Linked DNA regions of Cricetulus griseus. The protein of the gene in region 2 purifies or fractionates together with the protein of the main gene of each other region. This does not show direct contact. Links are inferred from orthologs where the notes say so. Each region holds a gene or a part of one and is shown on either strand. Other genes may lie near its edges.

Region 1 (15,254 bases), on a different chromosome or scaffold from region 2:
GCTTCTTGCTTCTCTAAGAATAGCTGGAACCTCTGGGTTTATTCACATCCTTAGCTTTTCCTAATGAGAGGACAAGGACTTTCAGGGTAAGAATCTTCCAGGCTTATTCACTAGAACCAACTGAGGTGGACAAGGAGTTAAGGTTCTGTGTGAGGCAACTGCACCGGCTGTAATCATGCAGAAGGGAGCTAGACAGATGAAATAGAGCGACTCTTTCAGGTGGGGTACTCCTCTTCTGTATCGCCCCACTGCATTAATCTCCATATTGACAACACACACACTTTTATCCATTTATTTCTTGAACTTGTCTTTTAAAAAATATTTGTTATTTGTGTGAGCTTTGTGTTTTTGTCTGAGTGTATATTTGTGTATTATGTGACTGCAGGAGCCTGTGGAGGCCCCAAAAAGGTGTCAGAGTCCCTGGAACTGGGGTTACAGGTGGTTGTAACACACCATATTCGGGCTGGGAAGCATATAGCCTGGTCCTGTGCAAGAGCAGTGTTTTCAACCACCTCAACGTCTCTCCAGCCCCTTACATTTGTCTTTAATATCAAAATATTATTTTCTTATATGAGTGTAAACACAGGTACCACATTTTAATAACTCCAAATGACACAGGTTTTATAGTCAAGGGAGACCCAAACTTGCATTTGTGTTTTCTTTTACTGTAAGTTGTGACTATGGGTCATCACAGTTCTTTCTTTCTTTCTTTCTTTCTTTCTTTCTTTCTTTCTTTCTTTCTTTCTCTCTCTCTCTCTCTCTCTCTCTCCCTCCCTCCCTCCCTCCCTCCCTCCTTCCTTCCTTCCTTCCTTCCTTCTTTTCTTTATTTTTTTCCTTGGTTTCTCTGTGGCTTTGGAGGCTGTCCTGGAACTAGCTCTTGTAGACCAGGCTGGTCTGGAACTCACAGAGATCTGCCTGCCTCTGCCTCCTGAGTGCTACTGCCCAGCCCCAGTTTTCTCACCTTAAAAAATTATTTATGGGTATGAGTGTTTTTTCTGCAGGCATGTCTGTGCATTATGTGCACGCCTGCTACCACAAGAGGCTAAAAGAGAGTGTCTGGTGTTCCCCAGGACTGAAGTTACAGGAGGCTGGGAGGTGCCATGTTGCTGGGATTGAATCTGGGAGTTCTGAAAGAGCAGTCAGTGCTTGTAACCGCTGAGCCATCCACCACTACAGCACAACCTCTTCAGTGTGTCTAGCAATGACTATTTTGTGTGAACGTTTGTAATATTATTACAGAGCTGAAAATTTAGTCACTTATTGCCCTTCCTCTTAGGAAAGTGTTTGGCACAGTTAAACACCATACACACACACACACACATACACACAAATACACACACACATACATACATACATACATACATACTTACATACATACATAAATTAACAAGTTTATTGGTGTTATTCACCGAGGAACATGGCTAACTCAAAGATAGATAAGACATCAGAACTTCCCTCCTCACACACACAGACCTTTACAGGTATCGTCAACATCAAAAAGCCCTACCTCAGTAAATAGCTTCTGTCTCAAGTCGTTTCAGGATGGGTCACATGGGCACTGGTGAAAATGGTGAGCCTCTCAAACCTCCTCCTTCTGGGGGATGGGGTATTAGAGGGAGAGAGGCAGAGAAATACAGGCAAAGACACACAGAGACAGGGAGAGACAACACAGAGATATGCAGAGACAGACACAGAGAGAGACAGAGACACACAGAGACAGAGAGATAAGTTAATTTTTTTCTGAAGTTAAAGTCCAGGCTGAGAGTACCAAATTAGAGAAGCCTCAAGCCAGCGCCTCAAAATTGGCATCTCAGACTTGATCATTCTGACTCAGTCAAGGAAGAAAGGAGGGGAGAGAAAGGGAGGCAGGGAGGGAAGAGAAGAAAGCACATCTGTTAGGATGCCTACATCCCCAAAGGCTTTGCTTTGACTTTTCCCCATTCTCCACATTCCTAACTTCCCTTAAAGTTACTACTACCTATCAAGTGCAGGCTGGAGCTGAAAAGGGTGTTAAATGGGTGGAGCCCAGTACGAACATCGATGTAAACACTCCCTATGAGTCAGCTGTAAATTCAATTAAAATCTCCAGTCTCTGTTTTCCAGGCTCATCATGGTTACTACCAAAATGACTGCTGCTTTTAGAAACCCCGATAGGAGGCAGGTAAATGTCTAAAACCGGGGTTTGATTTTTTTTTTCTTTTTACTATGGTGCTTATAAAAAAGCAATCATTGCAGCAGGGAATTTCAGTTTTTACTGAATTAGGATTTGTGTACCTCGATTGATCTTTAAAGCACAGTAGCAGTTAGTGAATATGTCTTCAGTTTTATTTTAAGAATATTATCTCATGGTACTGTGGACATTCACATAGCAACCAGGAGTTATATTAAGTGGTGGGTTTAATTCCACACCTTCTAGAGAGATGTTTTAACAATTAGCTTTTGTTTTTCAATAGTTTCTTTCCCTGCTGTTATTGGCTGCTGCTATTGATCTTGTTTATAAACAGAGGCCTACTTTGTCTATGTAGGCTTCTAAGTTTTCACATGGAGATACAGATTAGCCAGGGAAAATGGTTACCATAACATTTACTCACAAATTCTAGTTGGTGGCAATGTTGACAGTTGTTTCTTTCCTTAGTGGCTCCTTGTGCTTAAGAATACAGGCCATCACTGAGCATTGGTGGTGCATGCCTTTAGTCCCAGCACTTACTCGGGAGACAAAGGCAGGCTGATCTCTGTGATTTCAAGGCCAGCCTGCTCTACAGAGTGAGTTCCAGGACAGCCAGGCTACATAGAGAAACCTGAGAGAGAGAGAGAGAGAGAGAGAGAGAGAGAGAGAGAGAGAGAGAGGTGTTTGCCTAAACTAATAAGGAAGAGGGTGATTGAAAATTTTCCCAACCATCAGCTTCAGGCTTCACATGGACCCACTCACATGCCCACACCCATGTGAACAGTCATAGACACAGGCATACAAACCACATAGACGGACAGATGCAGAGAGAGAGAGGCAGAGAGACTCTGGAGCCACAGGCTCAGTCTCCACCAATGTTATGTGTCTCCCTCCACACAAGGGTCAAGAGACGGCAGCAAGAGTGTGTGCTGTCAGCCTGTTCTTCCTAGGGTGATGCTTGTGTCTTACTGTCAGTGGATGTGATGAAGGTAAAGTGGTGAGGCTGAAGCCATTTTTAGAACCCCAGTAAGTGGAGAGGCTCCAGCTTTTTGCCATGAGTATCTTAGATTCCCATTGTGGTAAGTAGAGAGAGAGCCTAAGGAGGTGTGCTGTAACTGTTTCAGGTTTTTTTGTTTTTGTTTTTGTTTTTTGTTTTGTTTTGTTTTGTTTTGAGACAGGGTTTCTCTGTGGCTTTGGAGGCTGTCCTGGAACTAGCTCTGTAGACAAGGCTGGTCTCGAACTCACAGAGATCCACCTGGAGTGCTGGGATTAAAGGCGTGTACTACCACCGTCCAGCCTTCATTTTTTTCCCAAAGCAAACAGTTTTGACCGTTATCTGGGACTCTCAGTGGAGTTGTCTTCCTCTTCCTCCTGGAATAGTGCCACCAATGTAACTTCTGACAGACGGCAGGCAATGTTCTCTGACTCTGGGCTCCCGGCCACAGGTGCCGTTACTGCACTTGGAATGTGTGAGTGTGACTGAGAAGCTGAAACTGTTGAGATATAAGCGTGGATAGTGGCTCTCACGGCCCCCGAATTAGACAGTGTAATCCTAGAATAGACATGAGCGCCCTGCTTTTCTGAGGGTGCTCAGATGCCTCATGCTCAGGGTGACAGTGGTGGTGTTCACGGGTGGATTTGACCTGGCCGGTGAGTTCTGCCTCTGTACCTGGGGTGGCTTGACCTCTCTGAAGAATGCCTCCCTTGTTTTCTTTTGGTGATCGATGGGGCTCATGTGGCTGACTTGAACACCTTTGGCAGTCAGTGTTATGGTTTTCTGTGACTTAACCCTTGGCAGGTTAGAGGAGTTTCCTTCCTAGATAGTGACCTAAATCCATGCTAAGAGAACTTGGAATTGCTAACTGAATTGACTAAATAAACTGGCCTCTGAAGAAAGTGCTGCTGCTCACTGGCACACTTCCTCTGTCTCTTTCATGAGAGGGTCTAGACCAGAGTCTCAACTCTAGAGTGTAAGCAGCAGATAAACAGCAGAGTGGCATGAGCAGAGGCGGTGTCAGAGTAGAACTCACACAGTGGCATATCACTTATGAAAGTGCCTGAGCACCATGAGTGTTAGAATTAACAATTAAAGTGGGGCATTGAAGTGTAAGCTCTTTTAGGAAATAAACTGACACACTTGGGGCAAGTGAAAGAAAGGCATAAGCCAGGGATGATGCTGGAGGGCCAAGGTAACGGCCCTCCTCAGGAATAGTATTTTGAGATCAGTATTTCAAAATAATTACATCATAACATGCTGACCACAATAAGCTCTCCCTCTAGCTCTGCTATCATTGCTTTCACTACATTTAGTTTTGCCTTTTCTGAAATTTTGCATACTTGGAATTTATATACTATGTACCCTGTTGTCATTCATTTAAAAGTTGGTAATTCACATGCTTAAAAATGGGAAAAGTACTATTTTAAGCCTTTTGGGTATTAAAAAAAAAAGTCATCTTCCCATCTCTGGAGATGCTTCATTGTTAATTATCCCATCTTCTACTTTTGAAACAACCAGTGTTAATAGTTTCACGGTGTCCACAGTTACAGCTTTTTTTTTTTTTTTTTTTTTTGAGATAGGGTTTCTCTGTGTTTAGCCTTGGCTGTCCTGCAACTTGCTATGTAGACCAGACTGGCCTCAAACTCACAGAGATCTGCTTGCCTCTGCTTCCTGAGTGCTGGGATTAAATGTGTGCACCACCATAGCCTGGTATGTCCTTCAGTGGGAGGTTTGCATACTCTGTTTTACATATTACCCAAAGACTCTTATGACATCCCAGCTCAAAGAATTTAAAGTTCATTTTTTAATAATAATTAGCATTCCTTTTTAAGTTCTGACTCCAGATGTCAAAGTGTGACATTTACCTATGATGTCAGTACATTTAAGCCACATGTGGTTCAAGTTCTCAAACCTATGATTCTAGAATTCACCGAACAAATATGAAAATATGACTACAAATCAAGTAAAATTAACCCTCCTGGCCTTATGGAGCCAGATGTTTAGTAGTAGAATCAAACATCCCCAGAAGAGTCCTATAATTACAATTTCCTGGAAGGTGACAGGACTAACATAGGGGCAGTCAAAGGGCTCGCCTCAGACCTAGAGAACAAGGTCTAGGTAAGATGAGGGCAAGAAGAACTTCTCAGGCAACAGAAGTCTGAGGAAGCTGTCAGGAGGGAGAAATTGCTCAGAGTAAAGAGGTCAGTTATGGCTAGAGAAGGTGGGCAGAGCAGAGAGGAGAGATGCTTGGCACTGAAGGGCTTGGTTAGGAGGTTTTGTCTGAGGGAGTGGGACGCTATGCAGGGACAACGTCACACGACATAGTACTCTGAACAAGCATTCTTTCTGTGTTGTGAGGAGATTTAGAGGAGGGTAGGAGGGATATGGATAAATTAGGTCAGTGTCTTTAAAGAGTCTACCGGCAGGAGAGAGTAAGTTTGAGCAGGGTGGTTGGTGATGGGAGGACATAGGACTTAAGGAAACCAGTAGATAAAAGCAACAGGATCTACAAATAAATTAGAGAAGTAGATTATAAAAAATGTTTCATTTTGTTATGCAAGATGCATTAAGTTACAATGAAGTTGTTAAAATTGACTTTAATAACATAACAAAGTTATGCAAAAAATTGCCTCAGACCATTTTGAAATTTTCAAAGTTTTTAGCTGGGTGGAGGACATGGTTTTACTTCCCATTTCTTAGTTCCTAGTCTTGTTGAAAGATATTCTTTTCTAGAAGTGCTTATGATAGTGGAACCTTTTCTGGGTAGGTCTTACAAATACAAATTTAAGAAAACCAGGGTATCAGATTAGTAGACAATTTTGGAGTTTTTTTTTTTTTTTTTGGACTGCATGGTGATAGTTACTATAATTTCGATCACTTCTAAGTGTGTGACAAAGATTTACATTGCCTCTATTATTTTTTCTTGCCTGCTTTTCTTGAGACAGGACCCGAATGAATAGGCTATTTTGTCCTGAACTAAGTACTTTCCTTCTAAGAATTTCTTCGTTGGTGCTGGATAATTTGCTCACCTTCTGCCCTCTGTCGGACTCCGAATAAACCCCACGGTGTCCAAAGGATTGGTGAGGACCCGTTTAACCTCGTCAAGTGCCATCCTTCTGAGTAACGTTTCTGAGAGTTGAACTCGGGGCAGCCTTGGGAAGGCTGCGCGTCCAACCTGCGCGCCCCAGGCCTGGAAGCCCGCAGCCAGGCTCGGGGTGCTCGCCCGGGGTGGGGGTGGGGTGTCTCCAGGCAGGGGGTGTGTCTTCTGCTGCCCCGACGGGCACCGGGCGGGCGGTTCTGGCGACTGTGGATGTCAGCACTTTGCAGGGCCGAGGGCAGGGTGCTTGGGAAGAGGGGCGGAGGACAGACAGGGATCTCCCCGCCTCCGCTGCCTGCGGCCCAATCCCTTCCTTCGGTTTCTGCTTCTGCTTCGCCAACCGGCCGGGGCTCCAACCTGCTCGAACCCATTATGCCGTAGAGGCCTGGCCGGGGCTCTTTAAGGCCCTCGCCGCGCCTGCGCCCTGGGCTTTCCTGAAGCGGCCCGGCCGAAGCCGGGCGGAGCTGGCGGGCGCGCGGGCGCGGGGGCTGCGGTGCGGGCTTCGCTGGAGTCGCGGGCGGGCGAGCGTCCGGCTGAGGGTCGCGGGGCGGCGAGCGGCCCGAGGTCCCGAGCTCCGGAGCGGGAGGCGCGCGCCGGGGAGCGCGGCGGGGACGCGGCTCGCTCGGGCCGAGGCGCTGGGAGGCGGCGGCGGCGCGGCGGGCGGCGGCGCGCGGCGAAGCGGCCGCCGGCTGGATGGGAAGTTCATGTTGACGGCGACGTCCACCGCAGGTTTCCAAGGTGAGCGGCGCCGCGCCAGGCCGGGCTGCGGCGGGGATGGAGGGAAGGAGGGGTGGTGAGCGCGGCGCCGCCGCCCCGCCCTGGGCCGCTGCCGAACTTGCGGCGCGAGCCCGCCGGGGCCTGCGTTCCCCGCGCTCGCCTGGCCCGGGCGGCCTCGGTCGTCGGTGCGCCCGCGCTGCGGCCCGGGAGTCGCCTCCGTAACTTGGAAAGTTGGTGTCTGTTTTTGGCCTCCGGCTTGTGCGCGTGGCCGCGGCGGCTGCGGACAGGTGATGGATGGGCACGCCAGGTGAGTCGCGGTGAGCCGCGGGCGAGCCCCAGGTGAGCCGCGCCGCTTCCGGCACTCGGATCGCGGTGGTGGCGACGGCGGTGTCTGCGCTGGTTTCCCTGACCTGAGGTCATCCAGGGGGGCGTCCTTGGCGCAGGAGGGCTAAGCAGAACTTTTGGACCGGCGAACCGGTTGCCTCGCTTTCCTCCTATTTTGAAAAGCTGGAGGGGGTTTTAGGGAGCAGCAAGCGGTTTTCTCGGAGCTGCGGTGGAGAAGAATCTCCTTTTCTCCGCCGAGAGAGTGAGTTCCAGAGCTTCCCGAAGGAAGTCAGGAGAGAGGAACACGAGCTGTTGGTAGTTTTTACATCTTCGGCTTGGGGTTTTGTTTCCAAATTTTATTAGTTAAAAATTCCTTGGCGTTTCGGGAATTTGCATTCTGTGGGACAAATAGGAAAATGCTCGCCTTTCTCTGGGAAGTTTCTGTCAGGGAAATAGTAGAAAATGTATTCAAGTGTGTTGGCAGAAAAAGATCACAGTCCTAAGTTTGCAGGTGGCGAGGTTTAAGTGAAACAGCACACACCAAGAAGAAATAGACATTACAGATTGGGGTATATTCCTCGGAGGAGTGGAATTTTTTATTTTATTTATTTATTTGTGAATGTATTTGGTTTTGTTTCTGGATGAGAGTCTTGCTGTGTGGCCCAATTGTTGACAAATTCCTGCCTCCTACCTCCTTGCAGGGTATTGCCACTCTTTCTGGTAGATACTGTTTTGTTTTTAGGTTTCTGACTTTAGGTGCTATCGGGCCTTTTCCAAGGCGGTTGTACCCATTAGTACTCAGTAAAACTCCAGTTAGTCCAGTACTCAATGATGACGCTTATCTTTTTTTTTTTTTTTTTTTGAGACAGGTTTTCTCTGTGGCTTTGGAGGCTGTCCTGGAACTCATTCTGTAGACCAGGCTGGTCTCGAACTCACAGAGATCCACCTGCCTTTGCCTCCCGAGAGCTGGGATCAAAGGTGTGCACCACCAACGCCTGGCAGACACATCATTTTTTTAAAAAAAATTGTGCGACTTGCGTGGTGGTACAGTACTTTATCAGTGTGTAGCCTTATTTTACATTTTTTTGTGGTGATCGAGGTTAAAATTTTATTGGCCATTTTTGTATTTTGTGAAGTGCCTCTTTTATGTATTATGCTTTTATCTTTTTTTCATGATCTCTTTATTTTCCACTGTTTTGTGTGTTGCCGGGGACAGAACCTACTGTCCTTGCATGAGCAACTGTGTTAACTTTCCAAGGTTTCTTTTATCAGTGGTCTGAAAATATCTGCAGAATGTCAGAAATAAACAACTCAGGAGTCTTAAAGTTTCTTTTACTGAACTTACTTAGGTACTCTAGGCTGCCACTGTTCTGAGCTCTTGATACACATTAGCTCATTTAGTTTTTAAGTTTTAAATTACATGCCATTTTTGAGTAGCTGAACACTATCCAAGTGAGAAGCCAATTACTCCTTTGTCTGGGATATCTAGGCTGTACACAGACGTTAGTCAGTAACCCTTGGGGTCATCTGGTCAGCCACTTTGGCATTCCACCGCCTGTGTTCAAGTGTCTCTTATTTTACTTAGTAATGGCACCAAGTGCAAGAGTTACTTCACCCTTGAATGTGCTGAAAGTGGAGCTGCAAAATGCTTCTTTGAAAACGTGAATGAATGTTCTTGACTTAATAATAAAAACAGAGTAGTGATGTTGCTAAGATCTACTTAAGAACAATCTTCAATCTGTAAAACGAGAGAAAGGATGAAGGAGTCTTGATAGTTGTGCAGTCTTGCTTCTGCCTGCACGGCCACATTGTGATGAGTGGCGGTGAGCAGGTGCCGTGAGAATATCTGGATGTCCACCGGAGTCTTGGAATGTGTCTCCTGTGGGTGAGGGTAGCTGATATGTCTGTCTGGCTGCCGGTGTTATGAAAGCTGGGCAGAGGAAATGGGCAGAGGGTGGTTGCTGTTTGCTACAGACACCTGGCTTTCAGCCTTCAGCCTCACTCTACTTGAGTTTGGAGTCACTCCAGGTCAGTGTTTCCAGGAATAAATGATGAGAGAATGGGAATGGGAACCTAGAAAGTCTTACCTGTACCCTTACACAGACTCAATGTCTTAACCTCTTCAGCACTGTTCTTTAGTCTTTTGGGCTTTTGTGAATGGCCCGGATTAGTTGCTTCTTGACACATGTTCCCGTTTGTAAGCTTGTGGTTGGTTCAGCTTCTTCCCCCCTGTCAGTCGCTACTTCATCTATGCCTTGTTTTCGAGGATGCACTGTCTATATCAGAGGATTTTTTAAAAATTATTTTATTTTTTATGTATGTTACAGTTTTGCCTGCATGTGTATGCCTGTATAAGGGTGTCAGGAACTTGAGTTATAGATAGTTGTAAGATGCCATGTGGGTGCTGGGAATTGAACCCAGGACCTCTGGGAGAGCAGACAGTGCTCTTAACCTCTGAGCCATCTCTCCAGCCCCTATATCGGAGGATGTTAACGATGGTTTTTATTAAGCTTTCTTTTCTTTGTCTGGTTTGCTTCCTCCAGGTTAACTTTCAACTTGGTATTACAACTTGTTTAGTAGTGAGTTTCAAGACTGGCTGGCAGTTCCTTGTTTTTCTATTTGTAGTTAAGAGAGAGCAGGAGACAGCTAGTTGGAAAAACCCGAGTTTATAAACAGGGCTTCCTAATGTCCAGGTTTACCCTATCTAACCTTGGGCACTGGTTCTCAGCATTGGCTCTACATTAGAGTCTCATGGAGAGCTTTAAAAAAAAGTTCTTGTCATCTCTAGACTGAATACATCAGCATCTCTAGGAATAGGACCCATGCAGTAGTATTTCTAAAACTTGATGTTATGATAGTATTAATAGTATTAAGCCTGGTGTGTGGCACAGGCATTTAATCTTAGCATTTGGGAAGCAGAAGCAGGCAGGTCTGAGGTCCAGGACAGCTTGGTCTACAGAGAGAGTTCCAAGACAGCCAAGGCTACATAGAAAAACCTTGTCTCAAAAACAAAACAAAACAAAAACAACTCAAATAAATAATATAAAAATAAACTTACAGTATTAAGTACAGTTTGATTTCACCATGGCCCTGACACAGAATCAGAGCATGGTGGGAATTTATTTGTGCACCTTTATTCTGTGTACCTGTTCTCTGTGCAGTGGCAGGTGCTGCTTTGATTTCTAGTTCAGACATCTGGACTTTTTATTTTTTATTTTTATTTTTATTTATTTATTTATTTATTTATTTATTTTTGGTTTTTCGAGACAGGGTTTCTCTGTGGCTTTGAAGGCAGTCCTGGAACTAGTTCTTGTAGACCAGGCTGGTCTCGAACTCACAGAGATCCACTTGCCTCTGCCTCCCGAGTGCTGGGATTAAAGGCATGTGCCACCAACACCCGGCTTTATTTTTATTGCTTTGCTTTGTTTTTCCTGACAGTTTCTCAGTAATAGCCCTGACTGTCCTGGAACTTGATCTGTAGACCAGGCTGGCTTTGACCTCACAGAGATCTGCCTGCCTCTTGCCTCCTGACTCCCAAGTGCTGGAATTAAAGGGTACACCCAGCATCATCTGCACTTTTTAATTAAATTATTATTAGAGTTTGTATATATGTACATAGGCATGCATGCCATGGTGTGTGTGCATGCGTTCATGTGGTGTTGTGTTGTGGACTACTACTTTTGCATGGGTTCTGGGGCTTGAACTCAGGCTGCCAGGCTTGCATGGGACATGTTTACCATTGAGCCTGCATCAGTGGTTTTTTTTTTTGTTTGTTTGTTTGTTTGTTTGTTTTTCAAGACAGGGTTTCTCTGTGTAGCCCCGACTGTCCCGAAACTAGTTATGTAGACCAGGTTGGTCTCCCAACTCACAGAGATCTGCTTACCTCTGCCTCCCGAGTGCTGGGACTAAAGGCATGCTTGACCACTCCCTGGCTTGACTCTATCCTAGTCTTTTGAGACAGACTTACTGAATCTGGAGCTGGCCAGTCTGCTAGGCTGGTCAGCAAACCCCAAAGGCTCCTCCTGTCTCCTCTCCAGTGCCAGGATTATAGGATTATAGGTCTGTGCTGCTTTGTGCCTGCTTTTTACATGGGAGATGAGGATTTGAAATCAGCTCCCCATGAGGTGTCTCACCAACCCCAGCAAAACTAAAACATCCGAGTGTCAGTAGTGTTTTCATGAAGAAGCAAAGTAGGTTGTGTGTTCAGTGTGCATTTTAACTTTAACTCAAATAGATTGTCATCTCATGTGCTTCACACATTTTTATCATTTTATGTTTCTTTAAACAGTTTTACCAAGCTAGGGTGCTAGGAGGGGGGTGACCTACATTTTTGATCAATGGTCTGGTCTCTCAGATTCTTTGTCTTGTTTTGTTTGAGACAGACTCATGTAGCCCAGGCTGACCTTAAACTCCTGATCCTCTTGTCTTCATCTTTTGCTACTGAGATTACAGGCTTTTGTCACCAAGACTTCTCATGTTCTTTTTAGAAGTGCTCATTGCTCCAGAATCTTACATTGTCAGCAATGGAAATTATTTTAAAGATAAGTCAGCCTAATACACTATTTTGTGCTTTCTCTTTAGCACTTGTTCATCCTAAATGTGGAAAAATCAGGTAAGAGAATGAGAAATGTTGGATACCTGGAAGCCAGTAAATATTTGTATGTATAAATCATTGAATAAGTAATAGATTTTGTATATTTGTAATATATAATATTAAAACTGTTATAATATTATTGAAAAATTAGGATGGTTTTGACATTTCAGCTAATTATACTTAAAGGAAAGGACTGTGATAGGGTGAGGTAGTTCTTAAAATGTTTTATCTAGAAAATGACCCTCCCCCAGTTGTAGGGGAGGGGCATTGGGCCTTGCCCATGCTAATGTTCTATTACAGAGTTGTACCTCCAGACTTGCTTTTAAATTTCACACCAGGAAAGTAGGAAACTGTTGTTAAAGTTAAGACAGGTCTTTGTTGTTTATTCATAGTTATAGGTGAGCTGACACCACCCATTAGAGAGCTTCTGTGTTAAGTTTCTAATAGTCTGGCTGTTGTTTGCCCCGTCCTTATTTCCCCTCCCGTCCTGTTTCTTTTCATGCTTTGAGGGGTATTTCCTCCTAAGATAGAATTATTTTTATCTTTTTTTTTTTTTTTTTTTTTTTTTTTGAGACAGGGTTTCCCTGTGACTTTGGAGGCTGTCCTGGAACTAGCTCTTGTAGACCAGGCTGGTCTCCAACTCACAGAGATCCGCCTGCCTCTGCCTCCCGAGTGCTGGGATTAAAGGCGTGCGCCCACCAAGGCCCGGCTTATTTTTATCTTTTTAAAAATAATTATCTGGATTAGACATATATTTTTGTTCTTTTTGTTTCTAAGGTCATTTATTTATTTATTTATTTATTTAGTGTTCTGCCTGAAGGACAGAAGAGGGCACCAGATCTCATTGTAGATGCTTGTGAGCCACCATGTGGTTGCTGGGAATTGAACACGTGTCCTCTGGAAGAGCTGCCAGTGCTCTTAACCACTGAAGCCATCTCTTCAGCCCCCACGGTTTAATTTTTGAGGTGGGCTTTCTCATGTAGTTCTGGCTGGCCTCAGATTTGGTATGTAGCCAAAACTGACTTTGGTTTCCTGTTTTTCTTGCCTCTACCTCCCAAGTGGTAGGAGAGGATTATGCGTGTGCATCTTTGTGTCCAGTTCTCTCTCTGAGATAGGGTCTCTCTGTGTAGTCTTGACTCTCCTGTATCGGCCAAACTGGTCTGGAATGCAGAGATCTTCCTTCCTCCCAAGTACACCAGGACACCTGGACAGCTTTTACTTTAAAACACATCAGATGGGTCAATGAGATGGCTCAGCAGGTGCCTGCTGTCTTGATCCTAGGAACCTACATGGGAGAAGGAGAAAACTGACTTTTGCTGGCTGTCTTCTGACTTCCATGTGCTTGCCATGATAGGCATGTGCACTGTGTGTATCTACACACACTAAAACAATCCACCCAATATTTATTTATTTATTTAGGTTTGTGACAGGGTCTCACTGTGGAGTCTGGACTGGCCTAGCCTGGAACATGCTGTGTAGATCAGGCTGGCCTTGAATTCAGAGATCTTGCCTGTTTCTGTGCTAGGATTAGTGTGCATCACCATGCCTAACCATGTGACAGATTTTTTTTTAATGGTCAGAGTTTTCACTCTGTAGTTCCTGATAAAGTGGAAATAGTATGTATAATGTTTCTTTTAGGTTAATCTTATATATTTATTTATTATTTAGTTTGTTTTTTGTTTTTTGTTTTTTGTTTGTTTTTTTTGAGAGAGGGCTTCTCTGTGTAATAGCCCTGGTTGTTCTGGAACTCGATCTGTAGACCAGGCTGGCCTTGACCTCACAGAGATCCTCCTGCCTCTGCCTCCCGAGTGCTGGGATTAAAGGTGTGCGCCACTACTGCCCGGGAAGCTTATTTAAAGTATATACCTTTTGTGTGTGTGTAGTGTGTGGGTGTGTGTATATATGTTTGCCCTCTTGATCACTTTCCACCTTATTCATTGAGGCAGAGTCTCAACTAAACAGAGATGACTGATGAAGGCTAGTCTAGCTTGGGGGAACCTCTGCTTCCTTAAAGAGAACTGAAATTTCAGACAGACCTCCGTGCCCACCTGGCATTTACTTGGGTGCTGGAGGACCAGATTGTAGTCCTCACATTTGTGTCATGCATTTTACCCACTAAGCTTCTCCCCAGCCCAGGGTATACCTTTTAAATAATGTCTTGCCATTTTCTATATTCAAATAACCTTATGAAATTTGTGGTGCTAAGTAGATTTTTTGGGTAGTATTTAGCTACAGAACCTGTGAGCCCTATGCTGCTCTTGACAATAATTTTTAACAAGCTTTAACAATACAAAAAGTGCTTACCACCGCACAAGATCTTTACTGTTTTGCTACATTACAATTGTTTTTCTTTTATGTTTATATATAAGGTTCAGGATGTCAGTCAGGAATGACCTTGGCAATTACTGGTTATCATGGTGGTCTGATAGTCTTTCCTCATTAGAACAAGTCAGGAATTTTGTGTTTTGCAGGTAGAATGTGATGATTTATGGTCTCTTCGGTTTTCTTAGAAAGGACTGTCTGGTCTCTAGTTACTGCATCTTGACTGCTCTGTTTACTTTGAATTTCCAGCTGTCTATTGTAATTGTACTTGATCTATCCCTGCTTAGCAGTCTATACAGCCTTTTTTTTTTTTGGTTGGTTGCTTGGCACATAGCAGCCAAGCCTTCTGTCATCGAAGTTCATTTACCCTTTTAAGTGACCGAAGACAATGTGGGTTCAGTACTTGTTCACTGTTCTTTGTGCTCATCCAACACTCAACTGTGTTCTGAAAAATATTCCTAAAAGCTGGTTAAACTGGCCCCAATCTGGGCTTTCTTTGTCAGTTTTGCTCTTTATTGTCTTGCAAGCTCATTGTTAGGATTTCTGAAGGACTTGCTAGTTCTCTGTGTTCTCGACTGGTGATGAGAATGAGGGTTGAACTAACTTGCTTGTTTCTTTTTTCTTTTTTTTTTTTTTTTTTGGTTTTTCAAGACAGGGTTTCTCTGTGACTTTGGAGGCTGTCCTGGAACTAGCTCTTGTAGACCAGGCTGGTCTTGAACTCAGAGATCCGCCTGCCTCTGCCTCCCTAGTGCTGGGATTAAAGGCGTGCGCCACCAACGCCCAGCTCTAACTTGCTTGATTTAGTGGCTTTCTGGATTTTATTCTTTGTAAAGGACTATTTCATTTGCTTTAGTTTGACTTTCTTTTCTTGTTGATTCTTGATATTCTGAGGCAATCCATTATAATTCAACATTCAAGTCATTTTCTAGGTACCACTCTTGCTTAAATTAAATCTTTAGTTTTTAAAGAAATACCTTACAGGAAGGATGCTTGCCAATTTTTTTCTTTTGTGGTTCCACATCTCACATTTGTGTGT
Region 2 (15,313 bases):
AAACCCAGAGCCTTACACATGTAAGGTAAACACTGGACCACTGATGTATATCCCCAGCCCTTAAAAACTCAATTTTGCAATTTTAAACATAGGGTATCCTAGCCACTGATGCAAACATTAATTACCTTTAATTTATGGCAATGTCACTACCTTAGAAAGTATTCTGAAAGGTAAATAACAACTTGTGTTATTCACATGTTTTAGGCATCAAACAAAAGATACCAATGCATAGAGTGGGAAAACGTGCACATTCTACTACTTTCACTGAAGACAAGGTGTGATGTGAGACCTGAAACACATTTAAAACATGAGGCATGAGGGTTACAAGCTTTGCTGCTCTGGTCATAGAAACTATAATCATCTTTAATAGTTACACTTCACAGACTGGCAGAAAGCCACAGGGTCACTTCACCTCTATATGGACAAACAGGAGCCCTAGGAAGCTAACAATCTGACATACTGAGTCAAAGCCAAAGTAAGGAGGGCAAACACTTTCACTTAGGACTCTCTAAAAAATTCAAAAACAAGTTTTGATTACACTCATTTCCTATGAATAGAAGGCAGTAAAGACATTTGCTGTCAAGCCTGAGGACTAGAGTTCCATCTCTGGGACCCACATGGTGGAAGACAGCCTACTCCTAAAGTTGTCCTCTGATCTCCATATGTGTGCGGAGCTCACACATGAATGAATGAATATAATTTTCTATGTGTATAAACAGGAGTCTCTGTAAGTATGCTATGTGTATATGTATGAGGGGGGAATGCCCAGAGGACAGAGAAGAATTGCAGTAGTAAACAGGTGCTGAGAACTGAACTGGGTCTTCCATAATATCAGCTAATTCTTAACCACTCAATCGCCTCTCCAGTCCCAATGAATGTAATTAATTTTAAAAAAAAGAATTTCTGGGGGAAAAAAAGAATTTTGGGGGGGCTAGAGAGATGACTCAATGGTTAAGAGCACTGGCTGTTCTTCCTGAGGACCCAGGTGTGGTGATAACTTGCTTGTAAAATAAAGCCTGTCTGGGAGATCAGAGCAAGACATCAACAGACCCAGGTTTGATTTCTAACACCCACATGGTAGCTTACAACCCTCTAACTCCAGAAAACAGTTTGTAATTCCAGTTCAAGGATCCAATCCCTCGTCTGGCCTCTGCTGATATTGCACACAAGAAGTTCACAGACATACCAAACCAACCCCACAAATAAAACAATAAAATAAAATAAATTCCTGAGCTAGGCATGGTTCACTCCTTTAATCCCAGCATCCAGAAGGAAGAAGCAGGCAGATCTTTGAGTTTGAGGCCAATCTGGTCTACATAGAGTTGCAGGCCAGCCAGGGCTACATAGTAAGACCCAGTATCAAAACAAACAAAAAAGGGAAATAGGAAATTGAGAAACAAGTTGAATTGTTTAAGTGAGGGTCTTGGCAGAGGCAGATGGAATCTCTTAATTTGAGGCCAGTCTGGTTTATATATAGTTTCATGTCAAGAAAGAAAGAAGAGAGAGAGAAAGAGAGAGAGAGAGAGAGAGAGAGAGAGAGAGAGAGAGAGAGAGAGAGAGAGAGGAGCCTGGCATTGGTGGTGCACACCTTTAATCCCCCCAGCATTTGGGAGGCAGAGGCAGGCGGATCTCTGTGAGTTCGAGGCCACCCTCGTCTCCAGAGCAAGTTCCAGGACAATCTCCAAAGCAATACAGAGAAACCCTGTCTCGGAAAACCAAAAGAGAAAGGGGGGGGGGACAGGGAGGGAGAGGGAAGGAGGGAGAGAGGGAGCCCCCAACCCCACCCCGCTCAGCGGTTAACAGCACTGAATGTTCTTCCAGAGAAACTGGGTTCAATTCTAGCCCCCACATGGCAGCTCACTACTATTTGTAACTCCTGTTACAGGGCATCCAAGGGATCCAACACCCTCACAGACATGCATTCAGGCAAAACACCAATGCGTATAAAGTAGAAATAAATAAATTATTAAAGAGGGGGGGTCACATTCTGGAACCAAGGTTGGCCTAGAACTCAAAATCCTCTTGCTGAGATTATAGGTGTATGTCATAATGTCCAACTTCAGACAAGTTTCGTTAAAAAATGGGTTTAAAGATCAAAATGGGGTGTGTGGGGAAGGGGTGCGCATCTTTGATCTTAGCACTCAGGAGGCAGGTAGATCTCTGAGTTCAAGACCAACCTGGTCTACAGAGCAAGTTACAGGGCAGCCAAGGCTACACAGAAAAATCCTGTCTTAAAAAAAAAAAAAAAAAATCAAGCCGGGCAGTGGTGGCACACTCCTTTAGTCCCAGCACTTGGGAGGCAGAGGCAGGTGGATCTCTGTGAGTTCGAGACCAATCTGATCTACAGAGCTAGTTCCAGGACAGCCCCAAAGCCACAGATAAACCCTGTCTCGAAAATCAAAATGCGTTTATAGGTTTACAGAATCTGAGCTAGACAATATTTTTTCCTGCATAAAAATTTTTGTTGATTTTGAACTAATAAGAACAAATAAATAAATAAATAAATTTTGTTGGTATTGTAGTGAACACCATATTTATTTCTATTCTTGACTAGTAATGCTTCTAAACTAGCTGACTGATGTAGACATCAGACTAGAAAATCAACATGAAAGGTTAAGGCCATGAAAGGTAAAGCCATGCTTTACTCAAAAGACTGGGATTTGATGGTACATGTGGAAAGAAGGCTGACTGCACTCCAGACAAAGAGAGCCCACTGTGCACATCTTTCTGTCACAGAAGTAGCACTAGCTGGCCTTATAACAACCATGCATTATCAAATGCATATCTTTCTGGCTTCCTCTATCAGCTGATTCAGCAAGAAATCCCAGCAGCAGTGACTCTGTGCAGCAAAGAGAAGTTCTTTCTATCTTTGTCAATTAGAGGGTATCCTAGTAAACAGACATTAAATGCTTGTACTGGATATCAGGGAAAATAATGTCAAGGTCATGAAAACAAAACAATGCACTTTCAATTTTACAGAATGGTTAGTTAGTAGGCTGGTTTCCAAACTCCACCACTGTAGATGTTAAGTTGAATCCCAGCTTCTTAATAGAGCCTCCCTATTAATAAGATACATTCACTGTTGTTTCTTAGTGTAAGATGCTAAATGTTCAGAGCACAACTCCTGGGGGGAGGGGGGGCTGGGAAAATGGCCCCAGCTAAGAACCTAGTCTGAGCTTCAGCCAAAACTCCCTACACCTTTCCTGAATAGCAATCCTTCAGTCACTCCAAGAGTATAGAAACTTAGGCCAGGAGATGGTTCAACAGGTCTTGTTGACAAGCCTAAAGACCTAAATTCAATCCCATGAACCCACATGGTAGAGAGGAGAGAATCAACTCCTTCTTAGACTTCTACACACACAACACACACACACACACACACACACACACACACACACACACACACACACACACACACAATGGCATAAGCCAATACACCACCAAAACAAACATACATTCATACATACAGACATAAAATAAGTATGTGTATTTTTAAAAAAGGAGGCAGAATAACCTGCTGAGGAAATTTCCTTTGAATCACTTCTGGTCCCACACTAGCATTAACACTAACTAGAGCTATATATAGTGAAGAAGGAAAAACCAAAGATTAGCACACATCTAATTAATTCATAGACACTCCCATTTCAACCAGTCCGTCACAATTTAAAGACAAAGAACACATGCAAACAAGGCCTCTAGCTAACATCACCTTTTGGTAGGGAAACACCATCAAAGAACAATGTACAGCTCCCACAGAAACTCCAGCAGTAGTTCATGTTTTGTTTTGTTTTAAAACATTAGCCATTCTTGAATTTTTTTAAATTTATCTTACTTTATGTATATGGATGGTTTCCCTGCATACAGGTATGTACATGACATGCATTGCCTGTTATGTCCCCTGGAACTGGGATTATGAATGGTTGTGAGCCACCATGTAGTGTTGGGAATTGAACCCAGGTTCTCTGTAAAAGTAACAAGTGCTCTTAATTGCTGAGTCATATTCGAAGCCCCTGGTTCATGTTTTGACCTCCACTTTTTTTCCCCCCAAGACAGGGTTTCTCTGTGGCTTTGGAGGCTGTCCTGGAACTAGCTCTTGTAGACCAGGGTGGTCTCAAACTCACAGAGATCCACCTGCTTCTGCCTCCCAAGTGCTGGGATTAAAGGTGTGCGCCACCAATGCCCAGCTTGACCTCCACTTTTAACAAATGACTAAATTTACTATCTCACCAACATCAAATCTTTATACCATACCAACTGAAGAATCCACGGCCATGTAACCAATTAACTTTATTATTTGAAAAGTAGTAAGTTTGTAAATAATTCAACATTACAAATGCTCTAAAACTATAAAAGTTATACCAACTAGCTTACTGACAAGATCTCCAAAAGTCAAGACTTGCAACTTGCCAAAGGAAAAGGACGTTTGAAATGGCAGAAGACTCCAGTTTTGTAAGAGAGAGAGAGAGACTGTGTGTGTGTGTGTGTGTGTGTGTGTGTGTGTGTGTGTGTGTGTGTGTGTGTGTGTGTGTGTGTGTGTGTGTTGAAATGTGATATGATAAGGAGAGATGTTTTTATTTCCTAACCAAATGAGAAATCAAAATGAGTGGATCTATTTGGGATGGATGGATGGATGGATGGTATGAATTACCTTACAAACAAAAGAGAATTCATTGGTTACGATTAAAACAAACAAACAAACAAACAAACAAAAACCCTTAATGGACCTTTCTTTGTGGACTCAAAATTAAATATTAAATTCTAGTTAAAATACTTTTTCTCATTAAGATGACAACATTGACATTTTTCCCCCAGTGGTGCTGGGGATCTAAACCTAGGGCTCATGCTAAGCACATGGTTTATCACTGAGTTATTACCCACCACGCCTCTTGTTTTGTTCTGTTTTTTTTTTTTTATGTAAGAAACTTTATGTTCACAACCAATAATTAAAGGAATCAATTTCTGGGTCAGCAAGATGGCTCAGCAGATAAAGACACTTGATGCCAAGGCTGATGGTAGAAAGAGAGCATACTTCTGACCTCCACGCACACGCACCGTGGCACACAAGCCCAACATACATATAATCACATAAATAAATAAATAAATAAACAAACAAACAAACAGATAAATGCAATAAAAATGTAAAGAAATTTTTAGTAATTTTTATATATCTATTACTAATATCTTAGGTTGAATGGACATATAGTTAAGTATCCTACAGTTTTAGCCATCTATAGAGTACATACTAAACAACATGACTGTAAGACAAATAATAGTATCTATATATCAAATATCAATATAATTCCTAAATATGCTTCCCTGGAACTTAGCCTCATCTGCTGAAGCTCAACCCAATATCTAATATTAATTTGTTTACATATATGTTTTATATATTATATATACCACAAATATCAAACTGCTAAATATTATAAAAGCAGAGCATATACATTGTCTATTATTAAATTTAAAATTTCTATCTCTAACCACATTTAAGTATTTTTGCTATTGTTTTTGTTGTTATTTTCTGAGACAGGATCTCATTCTGTAGCCCAGGCTGACCTCAAAAGCATGGCTATCCACCTACCTCAGCCTCCCAAGTGCTGGAATCACAGGCACGAGCCTCCATGCTCCACACTTAGTTTTATACTTCTCTAGTAAGCTCATTTACTGTTTATCTCCTCACCATACATACAGAATACTGGCTTTAAAGCTTACCAGCTGAAATCCCTAACCATTTTCATACTGGTTTTCAAAAGCTTCGAAGTATTTCTACTTTCAAGTACACTCAAAGTCCAACCTCACCAAGCCTTTAAAATAAAATGTGTCAATAATGCTGAAGTCTAAGACAAGTTTTCCAGCTTCATCAGAATCTGAATTGCTCAACCAAAAGTTGTGAAAGAAAAGCTACCAAGATTCAAGACAGGGATGGTTCTACTGATGATCAGCTGATGATTCATAACACGTGGAAAGAAAAAGCCAGGAGAGTAGACTATGTTCCCACCTGCTTCCAGAAAGTGCCACATTGTCCTGGTGTCCAGCCACCTGTCTATCCCACAGCATCTTAACCACACTGGTGTATGTACAAGGTTAACATGTTTTTAAACAGTCATGCTTTTAAGAAATAAAACAAATTCCATAGGTTTCACTGCAAAGCAAATTTTACTTATAAAATTTAATTTTCAAGAACAAATACATGATTTAGAACTGTCCTTACCTGTCCATATCACATCCCCACTCACACTACTCCACTCCATGTGATAAACATACCCCTTCATGCTAAATGTTACAAACTCCAATTTCCTTAACTATGCAGTGTGCTAAGTTAGCCTTCTCCAAAGTAGAAATGCTTTGGTTCATCTTAGAATAAATCTCTCTGGAATGAAATCATTTTAAAATAATTGTATAAGTAAAAAATTGGCTAAGTAATCAGTGTTGAAATAAAAAATAAAGTGACTCATATCCTGTAGCAGTTTCTAAAAAGTGGAAACTCTTCTCAGCAGATTTTTTTTTTGGGGGGGGTGGGTTTCGAGTCAGGGTTTCTCGGTGTAGCTTTGGAGCCTATCCTGGCAGTCGCTCTGGAGACCAGGCTGGCCTTGAACTCACAGAGATCCACCTGCCTCTGCCTCCCAAGTGCTGGGATTAAAGGCATGTGCCACCAATGCCTGGCAAATTTTTTAAACATCCAGTCTTATACGACAAAAAAATAAAAAATAAAACCAGAACCCACAGAGATACAAAATAATTCAGAAGTTTCTTAGTTCTTCTGTGCTTCTTTATAAAACTTACATGTTCTTTAACATAAAGATTGATTGTTTAGTGAGATGGCTCAGTGGGTAACGGTGCTTCCCATCAAGCCTGATGACCTGAGTTCCACCCCTGAGACTGACACAGTGGAAGAAAGTAACCGACTCCCCAAAAGGTGTTCTCTCACCTCCTCACGTGCCATGTGCACATTATCACACACATCAATAAATGTCGTTTTTAAACATTTAAAAAGATTTATGGCTCAAGAACTAACAAGAATTGTAACAATTTCATTTATATCATTTACTGAATCTTCACAAGAGCTAAATTTTACAATCTCACTTATTCCTCAAAAAGGTATCACAGGATTTCCTTTACTGAGGAAACTGAGGCTTAAAAAAAGTTGAGCAGGGGGGAAATAATTATAATTTCAAAAAATAAAAAAATTACTTTTGAAAAGTTAACTTTTCCAAAGTCACAGGCAAATATAAAGCCCTAGTGTTTTCTCCACAATCTAGGATAAATTAACACTCCTAGGAAAAATAAACAGCTTTCTATAGCCAACCTTCACATTCCAAATCAAATAGAAATAACTTCGAAAGAGACTAGGTACTCACTGTCATTACGAAGTACTTAAGTAAACCAACCCCAAATGCTCCTGGGATTTAAGTAATTTCACATCATCTCAGATGCCTTCAGCATTCTAGGTCTCCAATTTGTTTTGGGTTTGGTTTTGATTTTTTGAGACAGGGTCTCACTATGTAACTCTGGCTGGGAACCCACACGATCAACCTCCCTCTGCCTCCTGAATGCTGGAATTTTAAAGGCTAACTACAGCACACCAGGTTTTCCTATTTGTATTTTTAAAGTTTGGTACCTTACTAACTTACCATATAAACAGACTATCCCGGGGGCTAAATAATGATAAGGGTGTACCAGCAGCTAATACACCAAGACTTGTAAAAGTATATGGTATCGCAAAAGAAGTGTATCCTGCTTCATCATTTCGTCAGTCACTCTTAGCACCCAATGGCAAAGCCAGAAACACCATGCTTCACACTCTTGAAACTCCACCCTCCACAGTAAAGCTTTAATAGCAAAGCTTCTTCCTCTCTGGTAATGATCTTTGTTCAGCACACTACTGATGGCTGCCCTTCTAAATCAGGAGCAGAGCAAGACTACGAAAGTGAGAGCGCATTCATGAACAACAACAAAAAAAGCGTTCACTGTACTCTCTTTTCGCTGGGAACTGTATCCTTTCACTTTGGCTTCTTTCCGGACTCAACCAATAAGCAATTCTCTATCTACTCCCCATCCTCCCATGTCTGTCCACCCGCTTCGCATTTTCCCCTACCTTGCAATAAATTCTTAATTTCACTAAAAGAGCACGCCACCACTATAACCCTCTCCCACCGTTGGGGAAAGGTATGTGACCAACCAGGGCTCTTCCCTTCCTGTTGGATCCTCCCAGTATTGCAGCAGGAAGCAACCAGTCCATAGTGATAAGCTAGCTAGTATTTGTGCAGCGCACAACCTTTCCTGTCCAGGAACTGGGCCTTCAGGTCTGGCAGGGATAACAGCCACCACCCATCCGCAGCCCCTTCACGAAAGCCAAGTAAAGGAGTTATCTGGGTCTGGTTGTAGCTGAGCAGGGACACGAGAAGGAAGGGGGTTAAAAAGGCGAGGTGGGAAGTCATCTGCCTGCCTGGACACTGCGACAAGTGCACGCACGCCAGGGGTGATGGACAGGCCCTCTTGCCCTCCCTTGGTCTCCCCTCCCACCAGCCAGGTCGCACCGCAGCTCTGAACGTTAGGTGAAAAGGAAAGGCACAGAGTTGCCCATCTGCGGGGAGGGAGAGGTCAGTCCGCGGATACTGACCTCGAGGTCTGCAGGGATGGGGGTGGGGGCCCTGGGATGGGCGAATCTGGCCGAAGCCCAGGAAAGGCTCACTCGGAGGGAGGGGAAACGAAAGGAAATGAAAAGGAAAAAAGACAACAAACAAACAAATAAACAAGCAAAAACCCCGTAGAGTCGGTGCCCCAAAATGGGTGCTGAGCCTAGGCAGGGGCCTGTCAGAGGGGGATGTGAGGCCGGCAGCGTGCATCCAAGAGGAGGGGCCCGAGATGCCCAGGGAAGAAACTGCCAGACCGTGAGGAACGCAGCCATCGGGGAAGACACACAGTGAGGGGCGACGCGGCCCGGCAGCCCTCCCCGAGGCGCAGGAACTGCGCCGGCCGGCGGGACCCCCGTCGGGGCAGCAGGGAGGAAGCTGAGGCGGGCTCCGTCCAGGGCAGGGCTCTAGCCCTCGCGCGGGTCCCCCGGGAGTGTCTCGGGCCCGAACAGGCACTCGGCGGCCCAAGCACTCACCTTTAAAGAGGTAGTCGTACTCGTCGTCACGGGTGCCCATGGCGCGGCCGAGGAGCTGAGGGGCGGGAGCGGCGGAGGCGACAGCGGCGGGACCAGGGGGCGTCGCTGCAGGGGTAACCCGAGCGCCGAGCTTCAGCTGCCGGACCCGGTGAAGAGCCCCGCCCTGCCTCTGCGTCACTTCCGTCAGGCCCCAGTCCCTCACAGGAAGGACTTCCGGAGAAGTGGCGCCCCGCCCCTGATGTGTGCACGGGAGTGGACTCCGCACTCTCGGCCGGCTTCGGAAGGCTTACATGGAACAGTCTTAAAATGCCCAGCTAGATACAGTCCTACGGGCCTTTGGCTTGTTCTTTCCTTAACCATGCAGGGAAGAGAGGCATAGTGTTTGTTTCCGGTCGAGGGGGGGGTGGGGGCGGGGTTTTGTTACCATTAGACTCCCAAAGATAGTGCTGCTTCTGTGCTGGTTCCATGGTGTAATGGTTAGCACTCTGGACTCTGAATCCAGCGATCCGAGTTCAAATCTCGGTGGAACCTGTTTCTTTAGTCTTTTGTTATTATATTTATTCTTAATTCACATTGAATGACAGAATAATTGTATCTGCTTTTGGATATAATACATATAGTATTTACCTATAAAGATTCACCAATGAATCTCTTCAGTTCAGTAGTGTCTGCTACATGGAGACCAGGACATTAAACTCTTACTTCATTTTAGCCTTGAAGGAAGCTTGTTTCTTGATTCCTTTTGCTGGAATTTTCTACCTTACGCTTCAGTTAAGGATAAGCACTTCTCTTCAGAAATCTCTTACACTATCTCCAAATGTCATTAAGAGAACGTCACCCACCATCCTCATAAAGATCCATCAAGACCTTGAGTCTTATCTGCTGGCCTCCAAGCTAAGCCAGGTTAAATAAATTTAACACAGAGGACAGCAACTTCCATTTTAGCGAATGTCAATGTTAAGACTCAAGTGATTTGCTATAACGTCTCCTCATAGTTGTTTTGTTCTTATTGTTGTTTGAGGCAGTCTCACTCCCCTCTGTAACCCAGAATGGCTTTGAAATCACTGTGTAGCCCAGGCTGGGCTCTGCTATGTTCCTCTGCCCCCTCTCACCCCACCCTCTAAACACACAGAGGAATATTCACCCAATAATTCCTGGGAAATGTATGTTAGGTCATGGGAAAAGAGAATTCAGCTTACAGATGGAGTTCAAGTTGCTAATCAACTGACCTTAAGCAGGGATATTATCTTTGATAATCTGAGTAGACTCAGGGTTGTCCTTAGCGTCTTCCCAAAGTGGAAAAGAGGGGGTTGTCAACAGGGATGTGGTGCTCCTCCAAGTTGCCACCAGCCACCTGAGGAGAGGGAGCTGGATTCAGAGAAAACCTGACTCTTGACTTTGCTTCATCTCAGCGTGATAAAATATGAAATGGAATTGGAATTTATTAAAAGAGATTTTCATATAGATTCTAAATTCTATGGTTAAGAGGCAGTGAGGGTCTCAGAAAGAAAGACATAGCCAAGAGAATGAGCTTTTCAGAGAGTCCTGCCTTGTCTTTACAGGCTCCATATCCACCAAGGATTTCAAATCTATCATCTTCAAGGAGTTGCTGAAGAATCTGAGATCATAGGGTGGCTCCTACTTGGTGAATAGGAACATAACTGATAGGGTAAAATTCTAGGTCACAAGGAAGGTTGCAGGGGAATTTAAAATGTCTTTACTGTAAACAAAGGTTTAGTTTTGTTGTAAGATTCAGGGGAAATATCTGAGAGAGAAGTTAGGCCATACTTGAAGATCATAAATGCTTAGTCTATAACAGTTTGTTGCTTTTTAAACATTCTCTATATAATTATAATGTTTTAAAGGTCATCACTAGTCCAAGTGGTGTGATTGCACATGTTTTTAATCCCATATGGGAGGCAAAGGTAAATGTGAGTTCAAGGCCAGCCTAGTTTCCATAGTGAGTTCAGACTAGGCAGGGTTACAAAACAGGAAAAACAAAGCAAAACAAGACCATCCCCACTGCTGGGGATGGCAGCACAATACCTGTAAACCCAGCACTCATGAGGTGGAGGCAGGAGGATTGCAAGTTCTAGGCCAGTCTAGGCTTTATGTGGAAATCATGTCTCAAAAGTGGTGGTGGTGGTTTGAGGTATGTGTGTGTGCATTTGTGCTTTTATGGGCAAGTTGTGAGATGGCAAGGGACAATGACAAGATAGCTTAGCAGGTAAAAGCATTTGCCACCTAGCCTGAAGACCTGAGTTCAATTCCAGAATCTTACATCCTACTTGGAAGGAGAGAACTGACTCCTAAAAGTTGTCCTCTTATTTCCATCACACAGTTGCCACATACACACACCTTAAATTAAAATGTAGTTTTAAAAAATTTTTAAGGAGGCATTATTCTTTCTTACTTTCTCTTAATAACTCTACATTCTCTCTACAATAATAATAAGAATATCATCTCCTACACTGACAACCTTCACAGCAAATGTTAATAGTGTTGGAACTGTTCACTATTGACTAGAGAGAAAGACTTCAATCAGACTCTAGAGTGGAGGCTCTTCTGCCTCCTGAGGTCACCATAATTTTCCCTTTGTGTCTTCCTCAGGAGTCATGTGTAGGGTCACAAGCCTATAATTTCAGCATTTGAGAGGAGATAATAGGATCAGGAGTTCAAGATCATCTGGGCTACAGCAGACCCTGTCAAGAAGAGGGGTGGGGGGAGAAAGAGAAACAGAGGGAGAGAGAGGGAAGGAGGAAAGGAGGGAGAAAGGAGGGGTGCAGAAGAGATTACAGAGATTGATGAAATGAGAAAGAATTTCCAACCCATCCCTGCTGGCTTTGAAGATGGAGGGAAATAATCAGGAGCCTCACAATCCAGACGTTTCTGGAAACTGGGAGAGGAACCCAAAGAGATTCTTCCCAAAGAAGAAACATAACCCTTTCTACACCTTGATTTTAGCCCAGTGCTGAGCTGATTTAAATCATCAAGCTCAAGGCAATTAATTTCAGCAGGCATACAAAATGAATACAACAACATTTTCAGTACTTTCTCTGCCAGTGCAAAGGGATACGTTGTTAGGCATGCTGATGCACACCTGTAATACCAGCACCTCGGAGATGGAGACAAGAGGATCAAGAGTTCAAATCCAGCCTAAGCTGTATGAAACCCCAGCATTGTACAAGTGACAGTCATTCAAACTGGGAGAGATGTGTATTATTTCTTAAAAAGCCACAAGTTTTTATGGTGCCTATATGTGACTAAAGATTATTATCAGATGGTATAGGTGCTGCTTATTGGAGGAGACTGACAGGGCCACAAATAGGAAACTCAAGATGGAAAGAGCAAGGAAGGAAGCTAGTTTTTGGGAAGTGGGGGAAACATGACTGTGAGGGTGTGTTGAGTAAGGCCGTGGATGCTGCCAGAAGTTCTAAGCACATTTTCCCCTTATGTCATTATTTCTCAATGTGAATTCTGAGAAGGACAATAGTGTTTCTCAACAAAAACTTGCATGATCAGCTACATTGAGAACTACACATTGCTTCCCAGCTTAGAGATTCTCTAAGCTCATGGGCATTTAAAAAGCATATATATATATATATATATATATATATATATATATATATATATATATCAGTTCCCAGATTCACCAGACCACAGAAAAAACTCCCATTAGCAGCCTTTTAAATATTCTGGAGGAGTGCAAAATAGACCATTGGACAGAGGAGAGATTAGAGTCAAACTTAGGTCCTCTAAAAGAGCAGCATGTGCTCTTCAACACTGAGCCATCTCTGGGACTTTATTTGGTTTTTTTGCTGTTGTTGCTGGTGTGTGTGTGTGTGTGTGTGTGTGTGTATGTGCTTTGTTTTTGTTTTTGTTTGAGACAAGGTCTCTCCGTGTAGCCCTGGCTGTGGAACTTTATTCTTAAAGTAAATAATACAGAAGTATAGAATAAGGCTTTAACATCTTCCTCCACTATTTCAGTTCCTCTCCAGACCCCAGAGATAACTAATTATTTATATTATTTTCCTCCTGTTGAAAGTCTGTATAAATCCAGACAGATTCAACTAATTATCTGAATAGCTTTCCTTTAACAAAGATGTATAGCAGCTTGTCCAAACATTTCTACTCACTTACTTTTAGACAGGACAAGAAAGATACTGAAGACTTATCCAATTAAATCATGTTTATTTTCTTATTTATATAAGATCTCACATAGCCCAAACTAGTCTTGAACTCACAATGTAGTAGAGGATCTTAAACTCCTGGTCCTCCAATAGACTGCTGGGATCACAATCCTTCACCATACCGTTTTATGTGGCACTGGGGATCATACTAGACAAGCACTCTACTGTAGACTGAGTTTCTTTCTTCCTCCCATAGCCGTTTAGCCCCACACAGAGACTTATATTAATTATAAATTGTTTGGCCAATGGCTTAGGCATCTTATTGGTTAGTTATTAACCCATAACTATTATCTATGTGTTTCTACATGGCCTTATCTTACCTGAGAATTCTGGGACCTGTTATTCCTTCAGTGGCTAATGGCATTTCCCTGGCAGCTCACTCTCCAAGTCCTCTCCCCAGAATTCTCTTCATCTGGTAGCCCCACCTATACTTCCTGCCTGGCTACTGACCAATCAGTGTTTTATTCATCAGCCAGTAAGAGAAGCATATATACAGAATGACATCCCCCATCATCTCCTCTTTTCTGTCTAAGTAAAAAGGAAGGTTTTAACTTTAACATAGTAAAATTATATATGTCAAAACACTTATCAAGCAAGAACTATAGTTAACAGTATTTGGCAAAATTTAACATTTACATTTGGCAAAATTTGAAAAAAATATCTATCCTATCTTTGTGAGTCTAAAGTTTTATATGTAACATCTTTTATTATAACTAAGGAAAACCATAACCATAACTATCTTCTGTCTTCAACTTCATCAAAGACCTCAGAAGGATAATCTATAAACTCTAGAATTGACAGAAACATCTTGCTGCCTGGACAGTCACCCAAAGTTTCTCTGTGATATTGGGGTATCCATCTTCTGCCTATAGGCCTAATGTGTCTGGCAGACTTCTCAGTGAAGCAGGATATTTGAAACTGTCCACCTGCATTGGCAGTTTGTCATTCATTTTTCTCTGTGCCCTGCAGAATGTCTGGCAGATTTTTCCATGAAGCAGGAACCCTGAAGGACTGTCCCATCTTGTTTTGTCAAGTTCAGCAGTCACTTTCCTGTGGGTCCTGCATGTTCACTTTATACAGCATACAGTCAAATAGTCCAGGCAAGAGCAGTTTCTTGCCCAAAGCTAGTCTTGCCATGTCGAAGGCAAACTCCATAAGGAGTTTCTTTGATGCTCATCTTCCTCTCTGACATAATTAGTGTTGTCAGGAGCAGTTGTGTCTCACTGTAATGAAAAATCCAAAAACATTTTAAATGCCATATTCTGTAGGTCTTTGAAAGGTATTGATAATACCTATCTATTTGAAATATATCTCTGTATATCTAGAAAACTTAACTAACATAAGTTTTGACTATTATAGGTGACTATATATAATCTGTATTTAATTATACATTCAATTTTTAAAAGACCTATAGAAACATGATACCTAAACAAGAGTAGAAATACACATATAACAAAATTGACCTTAAATTTGTATCAATAAAACAAAGTCATAAGAATGCAAAGTATACATTTCTATATCATATTCCCTTTTTTCTTTAGGAAGAAATTGACTGTGATCATTAACCATTTCCAACCAACCCCATTTAAATTAAAACAAACATTCATGAACAATATTTGGGAATTTGAGTGTAGTTCTCTCCAAACTGCTTCCTGCTGTTTTGGGGTGCTGCCAATCCCAAGGGAATCCTGAGAAAACCCAGAAACCTGGGCAAATCCTGGCTGTAGTCTGAGGCTGTATCATTTCAGCTGTTTTGGATGTTGGATCACCTGGGCCACTGCTTTAGGGAGTCTTGCTTGGTCAAATCACATTATTCTGGAAGCAATCCACAGCTTTTCATCTTCTATGGGAACAAAAGCAGAACCTCTTTTTCCAAAGTAACATCTTCTTATACTTACATTTTGAAGTCAAGGCATTTTCAAAAATATAGGTTGGATTAATCTAGCAGTATTTATAATAAAATAACTTTTAGCAGCTGTTGCTCTTCTTCAGCAATAAAATCTGTTTCTAATCC

The links.
Region 1: the proteins of Rab11a (region 2) and Evi5 purify together in Homo sapiens (co-immunoprecipitation; 3 studies listed by BioGRID and IntAct, with this or other methods). This does not show direct contact. The link is inferred for Cricetulus griseus from reciprocal best matches to the Homo sapiens genes RAB11A and EVI5.

The regions. Positions count from the first base shown.
Region 1 is NC_048600.1:2,643,266-2,658,519, reverse strand, and holds the start of Evi5 (ecotropic viral integration site 5 protein homolog), read left to right. Parts: upstream 1-6,864; 5' UTR 6,865-6,999; intron 7,000-15,254. UniProt on the Homo sapiens protein: Functions as a regulator of cell cycle progression by stabilizing the FBXO5 protein and promoting cyclin-A accumulation during interphase. May play a role in cytokinesis.
Region 2 is NC_048597.1:176,346,073-176,361,385, forward strand, and holds the start of Rab11a (ras-related protein Rab-11A), read right to left. Parts: upstream 9,271-15,313; 5' UTR 9,150-9,270; coding exon 9,110-9,149; intron 1-9,109. UniProt on the Homo sapiens protein: The small GTPases Rab are key regulators of intracellular membrane trafficking, from the formation of transport vesicles to their fusion with membranes.